Linked DNA regions of Schizosaccharomyces pombe. The protein of the gene in region 1 interacts with the protein of each later gene in a pairwise test. Each region holds a gene or a part of one and is shown on either strand. Other genes may lie near its edges.

The links.
Region 2: the proteins of rec15 (region 1) and mde2 interact in a two-hybrid assay, tested with the Schizosaccharomyces pombe proteins (one study listed by BioGRID).

The regions. Positions count from the first base shown.
Region 1 is NC_003423.3:2,153,512-2,166,873, forward strand, and holds rec15 (meiotic recombination protein Rec15), read left to right. Parts: upstream 1-7,975; 5' UTR 7,976-8,030; coding exon 8,031-8,235; exon of another isoform or gene 8,236-8,284; coding exon 8,285-8,622; downstream 8,623-13,362. Other genes in the region: ubiquitin ligase complex subunit Npl4, read right to left, coding at 1-633, 696-776, 822-824; atg2402 (autophagy associated protein), read left to right, coding at 1,762-2,934; ppp16 (acylpeptide hydrolase), read left to right, coding at 4,114-6,165; histidinol dehydrogenase His2, read left to right, coding at 6,406-7,725; SPOM_SPBC1711.15C (uncharacterized protein), read right to left, coding at 8,602-8,700; pwp1 (WD repeat protein), read left to right, coding at 10,767-12,317; ATP-dependent RNA helicase Prp16, read left to right, coding at 12,748-13,362. UniProt on the Schizosaccharomyces pombe protein: Required during the early stages of meiosis for meiotic recombination.
Region 2 is NC_003423.3:3,760,034-3,766,209, forward strand, and holds mde2 (protein Mde2), read left to right. Parts: upstream 1-4,786; coding exon 4,787-5,404; exon of another isoform or gene 5,405-5,457; coding exon 5,458-5,676; downstream 5,677-6,176. Other genes in the region: protein mug37, read left to right, coding at 1-247, 318-583; ADP-ribosylation factor Sar1, read right to left, coding at 918-1,261, 1,519-1,624, 1,674-1,796; protein lsb5, read left to right, coding at 3,137-4,051; mediator complex subunit Med10, read right to left, coding at 5,814-6,176.

The DNA.
Region 1 (13,362 bases):
AATAACACGAAATGGTTGGAGATTGAGCATTACAGTTGATGGTTGGCATTTGGTACAAATCCCAGCGGGCCAAGGAGGATGACCAGAAGGACACTTTTCTTTCACTGTAAAACTAGGCTCCTCAAGAGGAGGAATAAACGATTGAGAGCTAGCATATTTATTCACATTAGAGTTTATTTTTCTCAAATAAGCATGAAAGGAAAGGTGCTTGATTTTATTTTCTTGTCGATAGGATTCATCATACGGTTCTAAAGGCGAGCAATAGTCGCACATTCCTTTAGGGCCGTGCCGACATAAAGAGGTCATGGAACGACGTATCAAGCCATCTTCTTTTTCTAAAGAATCATCAATGGGATCTTGAATGACAGGCATAGAAGGTTTTTTTTCTGAAACATCAGGTGTGGAAACCTGCTTTGGGGCACCAGTTACAGTGAGAGCAGGTTCATTGTTTGATGAAGCAATATCACTATTTGGTGTACCAAGTCTTAAGTAAAGCATTTGACCGTGAGTCAATCCAGCATCTTGAAGAGTTTGATCATTCAGGTTGGAAAAAATGACACCCTGGTCAGATTCATTCTGGCAAAGAGAAACATTTTCGGGAGAGTAGTCGTTTTTAAGTATATCAGACAAAATCTGATTTGTTAGATAACCATTCGTTTTGAAATATTTCAATAATTTTGCAGGAAATTACGTACCTTTGCAGACAGCATAGCCAAAGTATCAGTTGGCTGAAATTCTGCACGGGCCATCCCCCGTTTGCTGCGAAAGCGCAAAATCTTTAAACTGTTAGTAACAATATTTAAAACGATTGCTTTGCATACCATTTCGAAGCAAGAGTAAAGGTGAAGGATGAGCAAACTAAGCTTACGACTATGTAAGCTATTAAAATAGGTGAAGTGCAGCTTCGTTACATTTTTGAAAAATTCGTTAATAACAATAACGATTGAACAGACGCCGTAGTGTATATCTATATATGTATTACTTTAGGTCGTAATTCTCAAATAACGTAACAAAATTTTCAAAGAACTATCACAGGTATAACGAAAAATACACAATATGTCGGTTTAAAGTTGAAATATAGTTTTTAAATATCTAGTGTTGGTATGATTTAAATCCGACTAATAATTTAGATAATTGAATCTGCTAGAATTTACATTTGGTCAATTCCACTTGCTGAGTAGATGGTATTAATTTTCGGAATTGCGCACAGCTTGAAAATATGCATCCAATAGAAAGCATATCTATTGCATATTTTCAAAGAAATTTATTTTAAGCTAATTTAATTCGAATCAAAGCTGCATTTATTTTTTTTACAGGAAAAATGTAACTATGTTAAAGCTTGAAGCTCAATAATTTTATGCATTTCTGTTTGTTTATCATGGCTCACGATTGTAAGCATTACGATATGAAAAGTTGTAGATTTCAATTCTCTCAATTGATAATTGTTTATTAAATTCCTTTTCCTTAACAAGTTTATCAATATTGCTACCGTTTTGCGTGATTCTTCTCTAATATCTTTGCTAATTGAACGCTTGACATAGCTTGTGCTCCAATGGATCTTTACGTAGTCAGCACCAACTACAAAATTCTGTGGAAATAGCAATTGCAAAAATATCTGAAGAATTTTGTAGTTACATTCATTGTTATTTGTTTAAAAAAAATCTTAATTGCTTTGTAAAGAACTTCGAATCAGCTGTATTATCTTGTACTTTAAAAATATTGGGTCGCAAGATTACCAATCTCTTTCATGACATGTAAGCAATGCTGAAATGTACAATTAAAAATGAGCAAATCGAAACTTTAAGAAGCGGAGATACATTCGTCTCTTATGAAATTGAGACTGAATCGGATCTGCCAGTTTTTGAAGATAAAAAGTTCTCTGTTCGTCGGAGATATAAGGATTTTGAGATGCTTCATAATATTTTGAGCCATGATTATAATGGTTATGCAATCCCTCCGCTACCGAGAAAATATACTGTTAGTTCTTTCTCTGGTGGTTCATTATCTCCCATATTCATTGCTCGTCGAATGCAATCCCTCCAAACGTTTCTGGATCGATGCTCCACACACCCTGTAATTTCCAATTCTATGCATATGTATCAATTTTTGGAAAATAACTCTTGGAAATCTTATTATCATAACGCGTGGATGCAATCCGAAAACACTAAGTCCAAGGGCAATAACGTATCCGGAGGAATTGAATCATCAATTCAAAACTTAGACCCGTATGCTCAAAGCTTGTATGAAACAGCAAAACAGCTTCTCCAAAATGCGGATACGGATCTCTCAAAGTTGGAGAAAACCTGTGTTCAATACATGAATAGTGTTCAAAATTTTCCTACTGATATTCCTGTCCCTTCTAATTTAAGCATCAGTAACCTCGATGTTGTCTCTGTAGAATTTAAAAGACTAAAGAGAAACAGCATTTTTTTAATAAACTCTTTTCATTCTAAGGTAATTACATCTATTCAAGATTTGGAAGATTACATGGTGGTTTTTAAGAGTTTGATCAAATCTCGTGAACAAAAGGTGAAGCAATTTGAACATTTCCAACAAATCGTTCAATCTAACTCTAATAACCCTGATCAATCATCACGATCTGACCCAAACTTTGTAGAAGCCACTCCCGTTGTGCAGCAGACACCTGAGCTTAAACCGTCGCCCAACACTACTATACGTACCTCGAGTTTATTCAGTATTCCAAAATTTTTTAAAAAAAAGCGGTACTCATTAGGTCAAGACGATGCTAATCCCATGGAGTTGCTTCAATTATCGTTTCAAGAATTATGCATTTTCAACGAAAAACTTGAGCAAGAGTTAAATTTTCTACGCGAACGTATCGATGTTGAAATGCGTAAGACATTACAAATGGTTTGCGATTGTCATGTGGAATATTTTTCTGGTATTCTTGAGCAGCATGCCGTGAAGGAATAATAGTTCCTCGTTATTAACCTACTACTGTATAGAGGCTTTTGAGTTTTTAAGTAAGTGTTTTATAACTTGGCGTATGATGCTTTAACGTTTGTTTTACAATGTGTGATGTTTACGATATTTTTTATGCGACTTGAACTAATATTAATGAAAATTTACGAATCTGAGATTAATTTATTACTTTTTTATGCAGTCGAAAACATGACTTATTAATTTTCGTTAAATTTGCTCATGTTCTCAAATTAAAGTACAAGGAATGCAAAAATGTAATGACATTTCTATAATTCTTAGACAACTTTAAACTTCCCAACGTGGAATTGTTTCTTTCTTTGCTAAAGGAATGGATGATGTCTCCTTCGTACTTACTTCTTTCTGTTGTGCATAGATTTTATTTTGTTCTGAGCTTTAAAAAAATATAGCTCAGTAAAGAGGGATTATCAACAGTATAGGTTTTGTACTAACAATAAAATCTTCTGTGCCTTTTTTTAAGTATATGCATTTCCCTGTTCTGCTTTAATTTTATAAGATTATAGTCATCTCCGTCCGAAGGATGACAGTGATTTATATCTCAAACTATGCTTCTCAAACATGATTGATCTATATAATAATACAAGTAATTTCAATTGAGTGGTTTGAATTTTGCATTTTTGATGAGGACTTCACACACTACAATACTTTTTAGAAATAACTGATGGGTTCATTAAAGTTCTTCAATTCTCATTATTCGGTAGAAGTTGAAGATCTGTAAAATTTTTATAAGACTATAAAATGATGTCTATTTAAACAAATATTATCAGAGATTTACCATAACTGACATTAATAGGATAAAGATTATAAGTTAGCAGATATTCACTATGACTATTTGCCCAATAACATGTTTTGTTGAGATGTCTTGGTATTTCAAGTTAAATATACTGATGAAAATTGTTTTAGAAATATTCAATAATAAAGAAATTGTTATTATTGTAACATGAATTTAAACCATCACCTATCAGTACAAACGCAGCCCAACGCTTTACAAAGGGCTGCACGCTAACACTATGCTGGGAGTTTATAAAGTCATCATATATAATCATATCTTCGTCAGATGGGTTGGTAATCTTTGCAAGATAAATTTCCTTTCCCCTTCATGCAAATTCCTTAGAATTCACCTCACTCTGGTCAAAGAATATATTTTTTTGGATGCATAGTCTTTTCAAGCAGCTAGTTTTTTTCCTGGTAATGACGCTAACTGCAGCTGACAAGGCTGCATTTGATGCGGAATCCATGCTAGAAGCTCCTAGAAGGTCAGCAGTAGTTAGCAATCCTTTAGGGAATCTTGGAATATTTATAGAATCGAATTATTCCTTTGCTGATCACAAATATAACTCTGGAATTTACCTTTTGAATGAAAGCACTAGAAACCATCAAGAGCTTTTAGTACACGGCAAATCAAACAAAGCGCTCACATGGATTACTGATTCAGCTTTTTTATATGCAAGAGAAGATAATTCTAGCTCATCGAGTATCCTTCTTTTTGACGTTAACAATCGATCAGAGCGTATCATATATAATCATAACTCTTCAATATCTGATATAAGGATCGGAGAAAAGAACAACCACTATAGAATCGTTTTTAGTTCAGTGGATAATTCGTTAGTTAAGGGACCTTCAAATGTTCACGTATACGATCACTTGTTTGTTCGACACTGGGATAGATGGAACACAGGATCTAGGAATACCCTTTATTTTATAGAGCTAGATAAAAAAACGGAAAACTCAAATTATTTTGAAATTTCCTCAGAAAAAGCTATTGATTTGTTGAAGGAAACTGGCTTGGAATCTCCTGTCGAACCCTTCGGAGGTCTTTCTGACTTTGATTCTAACTACGACAAACTTGTCTTTGTAGCAAAAGACCCGAAATTAAATCCGGCAACACAAACAAAGACAGTTGTTTACGAGATTAATCTGAACACTCGGAATCTGAAGTCATTGAGCACTGCGAAGGGTGCATGCTCTTCACCAAGACTAGCCAAAGATGGAAATCATATTGCATGGCTTGAAATGCAAACACCACAGTACGAAAGCGATCAAAATCAAATAATGGTATATGAGTCCGAGTCAGGCGCTAAAAAGCACATTGCTCGTCATTGGGACCGATCGCCTTCCAGCATTGAATGGGGGGTTTTCAAAGGAGGCGAACCAGGTCTTTTTGCTATTGCTGAGAATTATGGGAAGCAAATTTTGTTTTTTGTTTCTATATTTCACCACCAAGTTATCCCAATGACAGAAGAACACTCTGTTTCTTCTATTAGTGTCCCTAAATCTTCTTCCTTATGGCTTACGAAGTCATCTTTAATCAATCCCCCTTATTACGCAAAGATTAACGTTGAAACGTTAAACGAAAGTGTTTTACTCGAGAACAATGTCGGATTATCGCCAACTTCTTATGAAGAAATTTGGTTTCCTGGCACTCATGGTCACAGAATTCATGCATGGATTGTAAAGCCCGAAAGTTTTGATAAATCTAAAAAATATCCTGTAGCAGTGCTTATACACGGGGGACCTCAAGGTTCTTGGACAGATAGTTGGTCAACGCGCTGGAATCCTGCAGTTTTTGCTAATGCTGGTTTTATTGTATTTGCTCTTGATCCTACTGGATCTACAGGTTATGGACAACGTTTTACCGATTCCATTGCTCTTGATTGGGGTGGTAAGCCATATAAAGATATTGAACTTGGTGTTGAGTACATAAAAAATCATCTTTCCTATGCTGATTCTGAAAAAATGGTTGCCTTAGGTGCTTCCTATGGTGGTTACATGATTAATTGGATTCAAGGACACCCTTTAGGTCGTCAATTTCGTGCACTTGTATGTCATGACGGGGTATTTAATACCCTCAATACTTTTTACAATACTGAAGAACTTTATTTTTCTATTCACGATTTTGGGGGTACTCCTTGGGAAAACAGAGTTATCTATGAGCGCTGGAATCCTTCAAATTTTGTGAATTATTGGGCCACTCCTGAACTTGTAATTCATAGCTCAAAGGATTACAGGCTTACCGAAAGTGAAGGAATAGCCGCATTCAATGTTTTGCAGTACAAGGGAATTCCTAGCAGATTACTAGTCTTTGAAGACGAAAACCATTGGGTCATTAAACCTGATAATTCCCTACGTTGGCATAAAGAAGTGCTTTCGTGGATTCTTCACTATACTAAAGATTGTAATGCCAATGAAGATGAAACGTTTTAGATTAATTTTAATAATACAACTACGATTATTTAATAAATTTTTTTTTGTTTCTCTCGATCTTTGTTAATTCTATTACCGCGGATAAAAAGTTGCAACCGCGGTTTATCCGAAGACATATCAAATTTAGATCTTTGCTGTAAGGGAAATCGAGTATTCACCGATCCAGCCATTCCTTAGCCAACATTGCATTAAATTTTTAGAGAGTCGATTTAGACTTGACTACCTTTAATTTACTTAATAATGCCGGAATACGAGATTCAGGTGCCTTCTTATAGAGCTGCTGCATTAACCGCCGAAGAACGTACACGATTACTTGCAAGACCCATTCAGAACACTCAAAAAATTCGTACGATTGTCCAACCGATAATCGAGGATGTTAAATCAAGAGGAGAAGCTTCTCTAATAGATTATGCTTCCAAATTTGAAAAGGTTCAATTGAAGTCGGCTGTCTTAAAGGCTCCGTTTGACGACGACTTAATGAAAATATCCCCAATGATTAAAGAGGATATTGATATTGCTTTTAACAATATTTTTGCTTTCCATTCATCACAGCTGCGTCCTACAATTGCTGTTCAAACCATGCGTGGTGTAGTCTGTCAACGGATGTCTCGTCCTATTAACCGAGTTGGTCTTTATATCCCTGGAGGAACTGCAGTGTTGCCATCTACTGCTTTGATGCTTGGAGTTCCGGCGAAGGTAGCTGGCTGTCCTCATGTAGTGATTTCTACGCCAGTCCGAAAGGATGGTACGGTTGCGCCTGAAATTGTATATATTGCAAATAAAATTGGTGCTGAGGCTATTATTTTGGCAGGCGGGGCGCAAGCAATTGCGGCCATGGCATATGGAATATCCGGTGTTCCTAAAGTTAACAAAATTTTTGGCCCTGGAAATCAATTTGTTACAGCTGCAAAGATGCATGTTCAGAATGATTACGGGGCTTTAGTTGCTATTGATCTTCCTGCTGGTCCCTCAGAAGTTTTGGTAATAGCAGATGAGACCTGTAATCCTGAAAGTGTTGCCTTGGATTTATTGTCTCAAGCAGAGCATGGTTTGGACAGTCAGATCATTTTGCTGACTGTCTCTCTATCTCCCGAAATGTTTGACCGTATTCAAAAAGCAATTAATGATCACGCTTTACGACTTTCTCGTTCGTATATCATCAAACATGCTATCAAGAAGTCGGTTATTGTACAGGTTGACAATGTTGATCAAGCTTTTGAATGGTCTAATTTGTATGGTCCTGAGCACTTGGTCTTGCACTTAAAAAATGCTTCTTCATACATTCCCAAAATAGATAATGCTGGTAGCGTTTTCGTTGGTCCTTGGTCACCTGTAAGTATGGGTGACTATGCGTCTGGTACCAACCATACGCTTCCTACATACGGGTACGCCTCTTCTTATTCTGGCGTTAGTACCGATAGCTTCTTAAAATATATCACTACCCAAGAGCTCACTGAAGAAGGAATCCAGCGGTTGGGCCCTACTGTTATTCGTCTTGCTGAGTTGGAGGGTCTCACTGCGCATGCCGATGCTGTTCGTGTTCGGGGAGTTAGACTTTGAAAGGGGTTTCCTTTTTACGTATACCTAATTAAGGATTCGGCTTAAAATAAAATTTGTGTTTGGTACTAAATTTGACAAAGTATTTTTAGGTTATGATTTATTTTATTTTATTTTATATTTTTCAATTTAATTTTAATAGTATGAATGGGCATCCAATATACTGAGTAATTATCCATTAATTCAACCTGAAGTTAGTTGGTGTCGCGTCGCGTGTCTCGACTTTTTTCTAGTGAAAACGAACATTCCCTTTAACCAAACCTGCAATTAAGCGTTACGGGAATTTTAACGGAAACGATCATTAAATAATGAGTTATTCAGTTTCAGCTGCTCAATTATGGTCTCGCAAGTTGGCAATGCAAGCCGAAGATATGCAACAGCATCAAAAGTCACAGAGCAATCAAATTGCTAGTTGTTTGGCTGAAATGAATACCAAACAAGAGGTAGTTAATCAAACGATCGGTCAACTAGGACGATCTATTAGTGAAGTCCAACAACAAAATTCTCAACTAGGTAAGTGAGATTTAGAATTTCCCAAGTGGTTGGAAGTCTGACTTAATAGTACTACAATCTTTGAATCAAATAAACATGTCTATGCAGCAAGTGGCCTTAGGGATTCAAGATTATGCCAGTCGTATCAATAAGTTGGAACAGACCATGTCAGATATGAATTTGAAATTTGAAGCTTTACAAAAAGAACAGAACAGTAATACAAAAACACTAGCTGATTGCACAAGCCAGATGACTATAATCACTAAAAAGCTAGATGCAGAGCTGAAAAAGCGTTATATGACTACTAAACAAACACGAACAGTACAAAATCAAACTATGCCCAGAAGTAATACAACAACGAAAAAGCGAGTACTGGCTATTGATTTCTTAGCAGATGACGATTATTAAAATACTTAGATCAGCCTCATTTAAAAGCTTTTCTATGATATCAATTAAAATTAAACACCAATCAAACCGTTTTTTCATAGTGAGCGATGCAATATATTCACTTTCAGCACATATTAAACTTGCCTAAACGCTGTTAGTATGCAATGAGCAAAAACTGTTGATAGACTTATGAAAGCCCAAATGATTGAATACTAAAACCCCTTGAGTTTACAAAGATTTCTCAGAATGAATTAGCTTGGTCACCGAGCAGAACTCTCAGACGGCACTTCCTATATAAAATGTTAAGCTTCTTCTTTTGTCATCACAATAGAATTCAAGGAATTTTCAGTTTCTTTCATTTTTGAATACCTACCTAGTTGAAATTTTTTATAGACAGTCCTTTTTAAAAAACTTCAAAGATTTTTACGAAATTATCTATATGCACTAATATAGCTGTTTTCAGCGTTGATGGCACTACGTACGTTTAGCGGTTTGCCAAATTTATAGCTTCGAAACAACGTGACGGCTTTTATCAACTATACGAGAGTCGAGCTTATTAAACATAAGCTTTCGTTAAAAAAAAAAGATAAAAGCATGAATAAAGCTACATATTGTGATTTATGGATTGGTTTACTGGTTTTGCTCAAAATCATAGTAAAAGGGTAGTTTCCTATTGTTGTGTAATCGATAACTTTTTCTAACATTTTGCCCTTCTAAAACAACTTTTCATATTATAAGCTATTCGTTTTACTGTTTAAGTTTCAGTCCAAAAATTAAGACTAATTTAAGAAGAGAAAATTATAGGTGACTATTTGTTTCCTTGTGTTCGTTTGTTGTATAGCGAACTTTATAGATTACAGCAGTTAGAGCTGCGGCAAATTAGTTGACTTGTGTTCTTTGCAACATTAAACGAAAACAGCAGGCAATACACAAATATACGTCCGTAGCATTTATCGTACAAACTTTCTAACGAAGCTAGTATTGCAATTTTTCTCCATATAAAAATTCAATAAAATTAATTAATAAAATTCAAAGTATTGTTTTGTGTTTATTCAATCTTGAAATCATTTAAAAGTTAAGTAAAAACCAAAAATTCCAAACTCCATCTTAATGTGATGCTTCTGACACTCATATTGTTACCGCCCTTTTAATTCACTCAACTTAGTATTCTTATGCAACGTACTGTTAGAAGTGTTTACACTGTGTTGCGTGCGACTGATTTTATATGTTGGAAACAAATTTTAAGATCCATTAATTTTACTTAGACACCAGTGAGAACAAATACAAATATTAGAAAGACTAAAAAATTTAGTGACCGATGCTATTAGATTTCTCAAATAAATATTGTTATGTCAGCAATACTACACTACGCTATGATACACTACTTGCGTATCACTATATGTCACATGTTCTAATTATATATCGTACCATGTATGATACGATATTGAGATTGATCTTAATGATGATCTATTAAGATCTATATTATCTGAATAATATAAATAGAGCTACTGCTGAACTGAGGAACGAGGTTCAGTTATGAGCTATATTAGTGATAGGTAACATTATAACCCAGTTAATACAATACCTATTCTCAGTTGCTACTTATACAACCTGTGTATTGTAATATAATAGATCACAAGGAAAACTCACCGCAGTTCTACGTATCCTTAAATCAGATACCAAACTGCGTAGCTTACATGTTAGTTAGTTTAACATACCGCATACCGTTACATCGTAGCTCGTAAGAAATACTCGCCGTAGTTCAATGTATCATTAAACAGATACCAAATTGCGTAACTGACATTAACTTGAATTTACGATGAGTAAAAATACTTGTTGACGTAAATTAAGTTAACGCATTTAGTTTATCTACATGAACGTTATGGCCTTTTGGTCGAAGAAAAATGTTTTCTTAAGTTTTGAAATCTAATTTAACGCAGGTTTACGCTAAACGGTTAAATAACGTTTTTTGTAAGACACGAATATTTTCAGTTCTTCTTTTCCCAAGTAGCGGTGCACGATTTATGCCATTATTTACTCGTATCAATACGTTGACATTTACTTAATCTTTAAATTTTTAATCTCGTTTAGATCAAGAGTGGTGTGTTTTCTGGTTTAAACATTAAAGTAAAGATTTGCGGAGTAAATATTAAGAGAGGTGCAACATGTCAATAGTCTCGTCTGTGGCTTTTGTTCCTCGCGGTTATGCATCAGAGTTTCCCAAGAGTTACGATATTGATGAGATAGAGTATGAGCGAATTAATCAGCTTTCAAAGTTAAAGCTCGAGGATGCTCGAGCTGATCTCCAATCTTCTATGGAAGACTCAAATAAAGCCAATGGGAACGGTGAAGAAACTACAGATGGAGCAGAAGGGGTGTTGCAAACAAGTGAAGAGGTAGATGATGAATTGAAAGTATACAATTTGGATACTTACGATGACGATGAGGAGGAAGCTGAGACAGAAGGGCCCGCTGCTATGTTTAGCAACATTCGTGGATTGGCTTACCATGAAAATGGAGAAAAAGATCCATATATCACTATTGATCCTCAGGAACAGGACGATTTGGAAAGAGAGGAAATGCAAATATTACCAACAGACAGCCTTTTGCTAGCTGCGCGCACAGAAGATAACTTGTCCCACGTTGAAGTGTATGTATATGAGCCAACAGAGGAAAATCTTTACGTGCATCATGATTTTCTTCTCCCTACCTTTCCTCTGTGTCTCGAATGGCTAGATTATAAGGTGGGTACGTCTGACAACGCTCCTGGAAATTACGTTGCTGTCGGCACGTTTGATCCTGAAATTGAAATATGGGATTTAGACATCATTGATGCAGTTTACCCTGCAGCCGTGTTGGGTGCAGGTGCCTCTCAAGTCAACAAGAAAAAGAAGAAGTCTAAAAAAATAAATGATAGTTATCACACAGATGCTGTTCTTGCTCTTTCTTCGAACCGAAATGCTCACAATCTTTTGGTTTCTGGTTCTGCAGATACCACACTAAAGTTGTGGGATTTGAGCACATGCAATTGTGTCAAATCTTTCACGTATCATTCTGACAAAGTTTCTTGCTTAGATTGGTATTCCAAAGCTCCATCCGTATTATTGTCAGGTAGTTATGATAAAACTGCAAAAATAGCTGACCTTCGCCTTGAAGAAGCTCCATCGAGTTTTCAAGTTACTAGCGATGTTGAAAATGTTGCCTGGGATCAACATAGCGAAAACAACTTTTTCATTGGCACTGATAATGGCATAGTTTATTATTGCGATGCTAGAAATCTCTCAAAGTCCGTTTGGCAATTGCAAGCCCATGATGGACCTATTTCTTGTCTCAGTGTTAATCCTTCGGTTCCTTCTTTTGTAGCCACAGGCTCCACTGATAGAGTGGTTAAACTCTGGAACACTTCCGATAGTTCACCGAAGATGGTTGTTTCTAGAGATTTGGATGTTGGACGTGTGTTTACTTGCTCCTTTACTACGGACGAATCAACTGCTTTCCATCTAGCTGCCTCCGGAAGCAAAGGAGTCGTTCGTGTCTGGGACACTGCAACTAATCCTGGTGTTCGAAAAGCGTTTGAAAGTAGAGTTACTGAGGAAGTTACTAAAAAAGAGCGCATCGTTCAGTTAGAAGACAGAGGTGCCGGGGAGGACTCTTCTGATGATGATGACTATGAAGATATAGAAGACGATGATGATCAAGATGCTGAGATGTCCTAATTCTCTTGATTTATTTTAAGATTATAGCTTCATGTTTTCAAAAACTCTCCTAAGAGGCCGCTTCATGGGTTTAAAGGGCTCACTAATTGTATAGAGGATTTTTTGCATAATTCAATATTTGGAAAAAAGGGATCAGGTTAGTTACAATAAATTTCATTTGATTTGGTGTATGATGGTCTTTAAACTTTAGTAAATTCATCCACATTAGTGGAGTAGCAAATGTATGCATTAAGTGTATATTGGGTTTACCGTTACTTGGTAAATTTTGCCTAACAATTCTTTTAATTCATATGACAATTTTTATTTAAACATTGAAGTACTGATAAATTGTTAATTGTCAATTACTCAGGTTCATGATTTTGCACCTTTGGGGGGCCGGAGGGTCTGAGTAAGTTCGCCTTCCGCCAGCAACCTTATTGATTTAGTAGGTATGCTTTCACATAATCAAAATGATTTGCTATTTACGAAGTTAATAGATAAATTAACTGATTATATGTCCAGTAAAGATGCAGCTACATCGCTTGCCAGTCGAGTTTTGACAATTGCCAAGGGTAGCTCGTCCAGCACCGAGTTTTCTAATGCATTACATACATTTGGACGATTTTCCGATAATGACAGCGTCCTTATTTACGATTTATGCAAATCTATAATTGGTTTAGAGACAAATTTGGGGATTTCTAAAGATAAACTTCCTGGGAATGATGGGTCTCAGGTAGCTGGATTAGTTTTGTCTAATCGTTCTGGTTTGAAAGGCCGAGAACCCAAAAAATCCCAGCTTGGATTGGATGTTCTTGCTGTTCAAAAAAAGAAAGAGAAATCTCAAGTAGAAGGGCGCTCTGAATTATCCCAAGTAGAAAATGATTCCTTGGAGTCTATAGGAAACTATGACAGGGTGGAATTTAAGAGACCTAAAAATCCACATGAAAAACATTTTCGTCCCCTTCGTCAACGGTCATCTGTTGACGATCATCAAGAGTTTGAAAGTGAAGATGATAAATATCGTAGAAATTCTTATTCTAGCTGGTCTGGAAGTAATTTCGAGTCT
Region 2 (6,176 bases), 1.6 Mb from region 1:
GAAAAACGCGATATTCAATTTCTAGAAAACGACAAGTTGGACCTGAATTCTCATGAGAACGAAGGCGAAAAAACTAAAACTGAAACAGTACCTACGCGTAAACAGTTTCCAAAAGTTGGAGAATTTAACTCCGCAATACACGGTCTTTCTTCGGAAAGTGTTTTGAGAACATGTTTTCGTGTAGGAGAAGTCTTAGCAGTATTCAGGATGAAACGAAGAGATGTATGCATTATAGTTGAATTTTTTGGTAAGGTCTATTATGTTTGCTCTCAATATATGTTGGTTTTATTGCATAAAAATGAAATCTAACGTTATAGCAAAAGTGCGCTCTGCAAAAAAAGTCGGCAATGTCATCCTCTACTACTTTGAAGACGCATTTCGTGGACAAAAATCACCAGCGATATTTGCTAAATATTACTCATGTTGCGAAATATCGCCTCTTTTAACTAAACCGGCAACTATGATCAGAGTGGTTGGAATCGTCTCTCATGCCGAAAAGATTTTAAAAGTGATACACATAGCTAGCTCGGATTTAGATGAATTATGGGACACTTACAATATGGTGCTCTACGAAACTTTATAGATTATCATCTATATATGATCATATTCACAAAAGATAAGTAAATATCTCTGAAGAACCAATAATCAAGCTTTAGAATCACAACTGAAAAAAATGGGCTAACGGATAATACACAATACGTTATCAGCATAGGAGCATACTGCAAAGTCAGTAAAGACAAATGCTCCGTAGATGAAAACAATTGACCGCACGAATATCATATAACAAAAAAGACTTGTCATCAAGTTTGTAAATCTGAATTGGGCGAATCTATGTAAGCGCTGAGCAAACAATTAGGGAAATTTGGAACGGGCGTCATTCAAAGTGAAAGGTTTTTAAGAGGATGCAATGGGGTAACTTAGACGTATTGAGCAAGCCACTTGAAGCCTTCGCCATAACCTTGGCGAAGGACCACCGAGCACATGAATACTTCGATAGGTCGGATTCCAGGAACGGGTTTAGACACGCCCTTACCAGTGGTCTGATAAAGTCCAAGGGCCGCCTTGAGTTCATCTTCAGAAATAGCACCAGGGGCATCGATTTTATTGCCAAGAATCAAAAAGGGGACGCGAGCAAGTTCTTCCATGGCCAATAAGGCATCTAGTTCGGCCTTTGATTCAGAAAGGCGTTCAAAGTCACAGCAGTCAACCAAGTAAACAATGCCATTAACCTCGGGGAAATAATCTCTCCACAAGCGGCGAGCTATAAGAAAATTAGTAAAAATACATAAAATCAGATAGAGAATCCAAAATCATAGAAGAAATTGCAAAGAAAAAACAAAGATCATGAGAACAAAACGGCCCACTGATAAACTAGCCAACGACATATGAGACGATATAGAAATTCAAACAACTTTATACAAAAAAGAATTTTAAGCGAAAAAAAATTAATTATTCTAAAGACATTCCAACTCTTACAAAATCTCCATGATTTAGAAAAACAACTCTGTGACTACATACCCTGTTGATGACCTCCCAAATCGAAAGTAGTAAATCGAACGTTGCCAATAGCCAGTTCTTCTGAAGTAGGATGTAAAGTTGGTTGCATTACAGCTAAACGGTCATTCTAAATAATTAGTATAAGGATAATCAAGGAGAGTAGAAGTCAAACATACTTTCAGCATGTGTAGCAAGGTGGTCTTTCCGGCGTTATCTAAACCCAAAAACAGCATCTTGGCATGCTTGTTGACAAGACCAAGCATGGCAAGAGCATCGTAGAACCAGTTAATGATAAACATTGGTGTAAGATGGATGGATTTTCTGAAAACCTGTTATGCTCAGTGTGTTGGTGGTTGGCAAGAGATGACTTACCTCATGCCTAGTTATACTAATTTTCTCTAGGTAACCGAAAATAAGTAGTTAAAGAAAATATTTAATTAATGTACGTATGAAATGAAACTGAATAATTACATATAGTTCAAATTTGGAAGCTTCTCTATGCTTTTTTCTAGTAGTAAGTATGAAGAGAACGATTTTGGCGATTTCTAATTTACATGTTTACGTTTGCTTAAATTAACTATTAATGAATTCGTCTCAATACAATTTCTTTCGGTTTGAAAAGAATAAAGGATGATAGCTTTCAGCTTTTCGTTTAAATAAAATTCGACTAGTAATTTACCATTTCTAAAATTTGTAACTATAAACATGTTATGTATTTGCACTACGCTCAGTTAATAACAGGGCGCAATAGACAAATTGAGAAAAACGGTAAATAAATGTATAAAAGAATTGAATGAATAAAACAATGCACACTTACAACAGTTGGGTTAGAATTACAAAAAAAAAAAATTCACGTAGGCTAACTGTTTTTAATATTAGCTTTTGAGATTAGAAGTAACTTTAATTTCTAAAAGTTTTCTGGATTTCTTTTTTTATAAATCTTACAAATTGTGACATCGGCCTTTCGTAGTTTATAGATATATTATACGAATATATATACATATATTTTTGTTTCTATGTATACGGTGGGTGATACAGGAATTTGTGTTTTATATTTAAAACATATAAATTCAATAATACTCATTTATTCAAAAAAATTTTTTTTTAAGCTAGTTTTTTTCATAATAAGTTGTTAATAACTATCATTTAATTATTACTTAATATTATTCCGGCATACAGAATTAGTAAATATCAGCTGAGAATCTATATCTACAGGATATTTTGCTAGCAAATAAATTAACAAAAATTGCATAATCTTCTCTAAAATTCAAGCATCAATTTTCGGGTTAATTTATGATCTTTTTCATTCTTCATTTCGTTAATTATTTTTGTATCACAACTTTGGAACGTAGTGTAATATGATATTCTTTATCTATACGACACACACCAAAATCCTTCTTCTTTTTGCAAATATAGACAACTTTTCTATTCGATAGCTTTAAAACTTCATAAAATTTTACTTGAAAGAACAACCAGAAGGTACTACTTTCGTTTATTGGAAGGTCCGTTTACAATCGATTGAAAATTATTCCTTGCTGCTATATATTTTCAGACTTTAATTTGTTCCATCAAGCCATCAAACACTCAAGCTATCATTATCTCAGTGAATAATTAAAATCACTATTTCATCTTATTTATAATGGGAATTTTCAGTGAAACAGTTCCAATTACTGCTGTCACCACTTATATCGATCGTTTAACCTCTAGAGATACCGACGATGAGGATTTGTCTGGTATCGTTCAATTATCTGAAGCCGTTAATTTAACTGTTACTGGTCCGCGAGAGGCTTCTCGTACCCTTCGTAAGAAGTTAAAGTACAGTACACCTCATGAACAAGTTCGGGCACTTGTTATTCTCCAGGCTTTAATTGAAAATGCTGGCTCTCATTTTTTACAAAATTTCTCAGACGAAAAATTGGAAGACCGAATGTTGCAATGTGCAACAAATTCTGAATATTCTAAACCCGTTCGTAAGCGTGCTATCCATATGATCAAACTTTGGCACAATGACTATTCTAATGTTCGTGGAATGGAAAGCATGAGTAGTTTAGTATCTCGACTTCCTCAACGACAATCATCTGCTTCGCATTCTGAACAACCCACTATCAATCTTAAAAAGGTTGGTCCAATTTTAGAAAGATTGATAGCCTCTTCCAGCATGGCTGCTACCAATCTTTCTAATAGCCTTGTCCGAATCAATCCTAACACAGAAAATCCGGCCAAAAACAAGCAAATCATGGTTTATTATGTGGATTGTAAACGTGCTCATCGCTCCTTGTTGCGCTACATACAAGCTATTCAAGACGAGATGTGGTTAGCCAATCTCTTGAAGGCAAACGATGAAATTGTGACAGCCATTGATGCATTCAAGGAAAAATGCTCCGAAAACTCAGATTATAGTTCAGATAGTGGATCCTATAGTTCTTCATATTCTCGTCACCTTGATGATCGGGCTTCTTACATATCTCGCTCGAGTAGCGGAGGTTCTAATGCTCAGAGATCAGAAGATTTGGATGTAAACAATCCTTTTGGCGATCATAATCGTTTGGAATAATTAATAAGCTTTCCTTTTTAATGGATTTGAATACCTAATTAATTGGTAATGATCGATTGATATCAAGGGGTGCGAAGGTTAAAAAGCATTTCATCTTGCCTTCAACATCTTCTTAATGATTCTACCTTCCATCTCTTTAATATGAGTGCCTTATTTATCTTGGACAATTATAATTTTTTAAGATTATGAGTCTTTTAGTTGGGTCATGCACTAGATATATATTACTGTATTCGACTTATTAGATACAATCCCTTTTTAGTCAACCTTTTAGCAACCGTGCGCCTTTGTTTATATTATTGCCAATTTTATTGCGTTTAACTGATAAGGTGTTTAATTAATTTATTTTTTTTGCACACTAGTTGTAGTCAATCTTTGTAAGTAACGCGCTTTAAAAAATGTTTTCTTTTAATTAACATAATTTAAAAAGTAAAGTTGTTTTCGAGATATCTAAAGCCATTATAGTATACCGTCCATCTCAAAAAAGCAGCACAACATTATTTATGTAAAATGGATGCATACATGCTTAATTTTAACCGTCAAATAATACAAAAAACAAATACATAACATTTTAACCAATTAAATAGAGAATTTGGTATCCTAAATTTGTAGCCACTTAAAAGGCATTCGTTCGTGAGTTTGTTTGTTTACATTCCATACCATACTACTAAGACAACAACCAAAGTGAATGGGTAATTCAAGACTAAAAGAAAAGAGGATCACGGAAATTAATTAAAAATGGAAAATTATACCAAATCCACAACCATGTGTGGAAAAAGAAAACCAACATTTGAGATTTATCGGGAAAGCGACTTTTCCAAAATAACAAATCAAGGAACTGTGACAGCGTTTGACATTATTTCAAATAAGGAAACATTTTCTGAAAGTAAACAATTAAAGAAAGCTAAGTCTCGAAACGTTACTTTAGTAGATAAGAATACAAAAGCCGATAAAAGATACAAAAGTGAGAAGCTATCAGATTACCTTCTTAACCAAGAACACCATAAAAACTCTCCGAAAATCATCAATGATGTGCTTGTTATAGGAAAAAGTGATGGTTTAATAAACTCGTTTCCATTAAGCCAAAATTATATATCTTCCAGTGAAAGCCAAACATCCTCTGGTAATGTCGATATTATTGGCAATGATAACTCACATGCATCTCCTTATTTACCCAAGTTTGAGCTAAAATCACAAAGTCAGTCCAACCATTCGAACGTTGTAAAAAACCAACCGATCAAATTGTGTAAAAAAACTGAGGGAGGTACTAATCTCGACCATAATAAATCAATAAATGGAGCCGTGAAATCAGGGACATCAAAATCAGCAAACAAAGACAGAATTTATGTTTTCTACGTAAGCAAATAATTTTTTGTAAAGGAATTTAAGCTAACAAGTTTTGGGTCAAGGAAGATGAAGAAGTGATGGAGTATCGTTACATATTTGGATCTCGTATGCAAACGAAAAATCATGATATCAATGCAAATAACAAAAGAAAAATTTTCTATCAAAACTCATTTTCGAACTTTCATTTGCTCCATAAAATTATACAGCCGAATTATGAACCTGCGTCAGCTGAGGAACGAAAGTTGTGCATTGAAATTTTAGATGAAGTTTTACAGTACTAGTTAATAATTCAGAATTTCCCCTTTTTAATTCAATGATAGATACTGTAGGTAAGCAGGTAGCTGAATTATCGGTAAGAGTTGTACGCTTTTTCATACCTCAAAAAAATCCGAAATCATTAATTTTGACTATGGTGCAATCATGAAACTGTAGATTCGACTTTTCCCTCGTTTAAAATTTTATCAACCACACTTGATACCTCAGGATAAGCCTGTTTAATTTCTTCGGCAAAAGCCTTTTGAAATCCCTCTATAGCATATAGCTTCCCGTTGACATACTGATTATCTTTTTGAACCAATTCACTGAATTGTCTAGCATATACATCTGGATTTCGACCTTGTTCAATATATTCCAAGACGTCTTGAGGGATTAAGTTATTCACCTTTCTAGATATGTCAGGAAGAGATTTGAGATCTCTGATAAGAGTATCAAGGCTTTCAGGAATGGCATCAGATGGAGTAGTATCTTCAAGGTTATAAACGATCAATGCCAAGTCATAAAA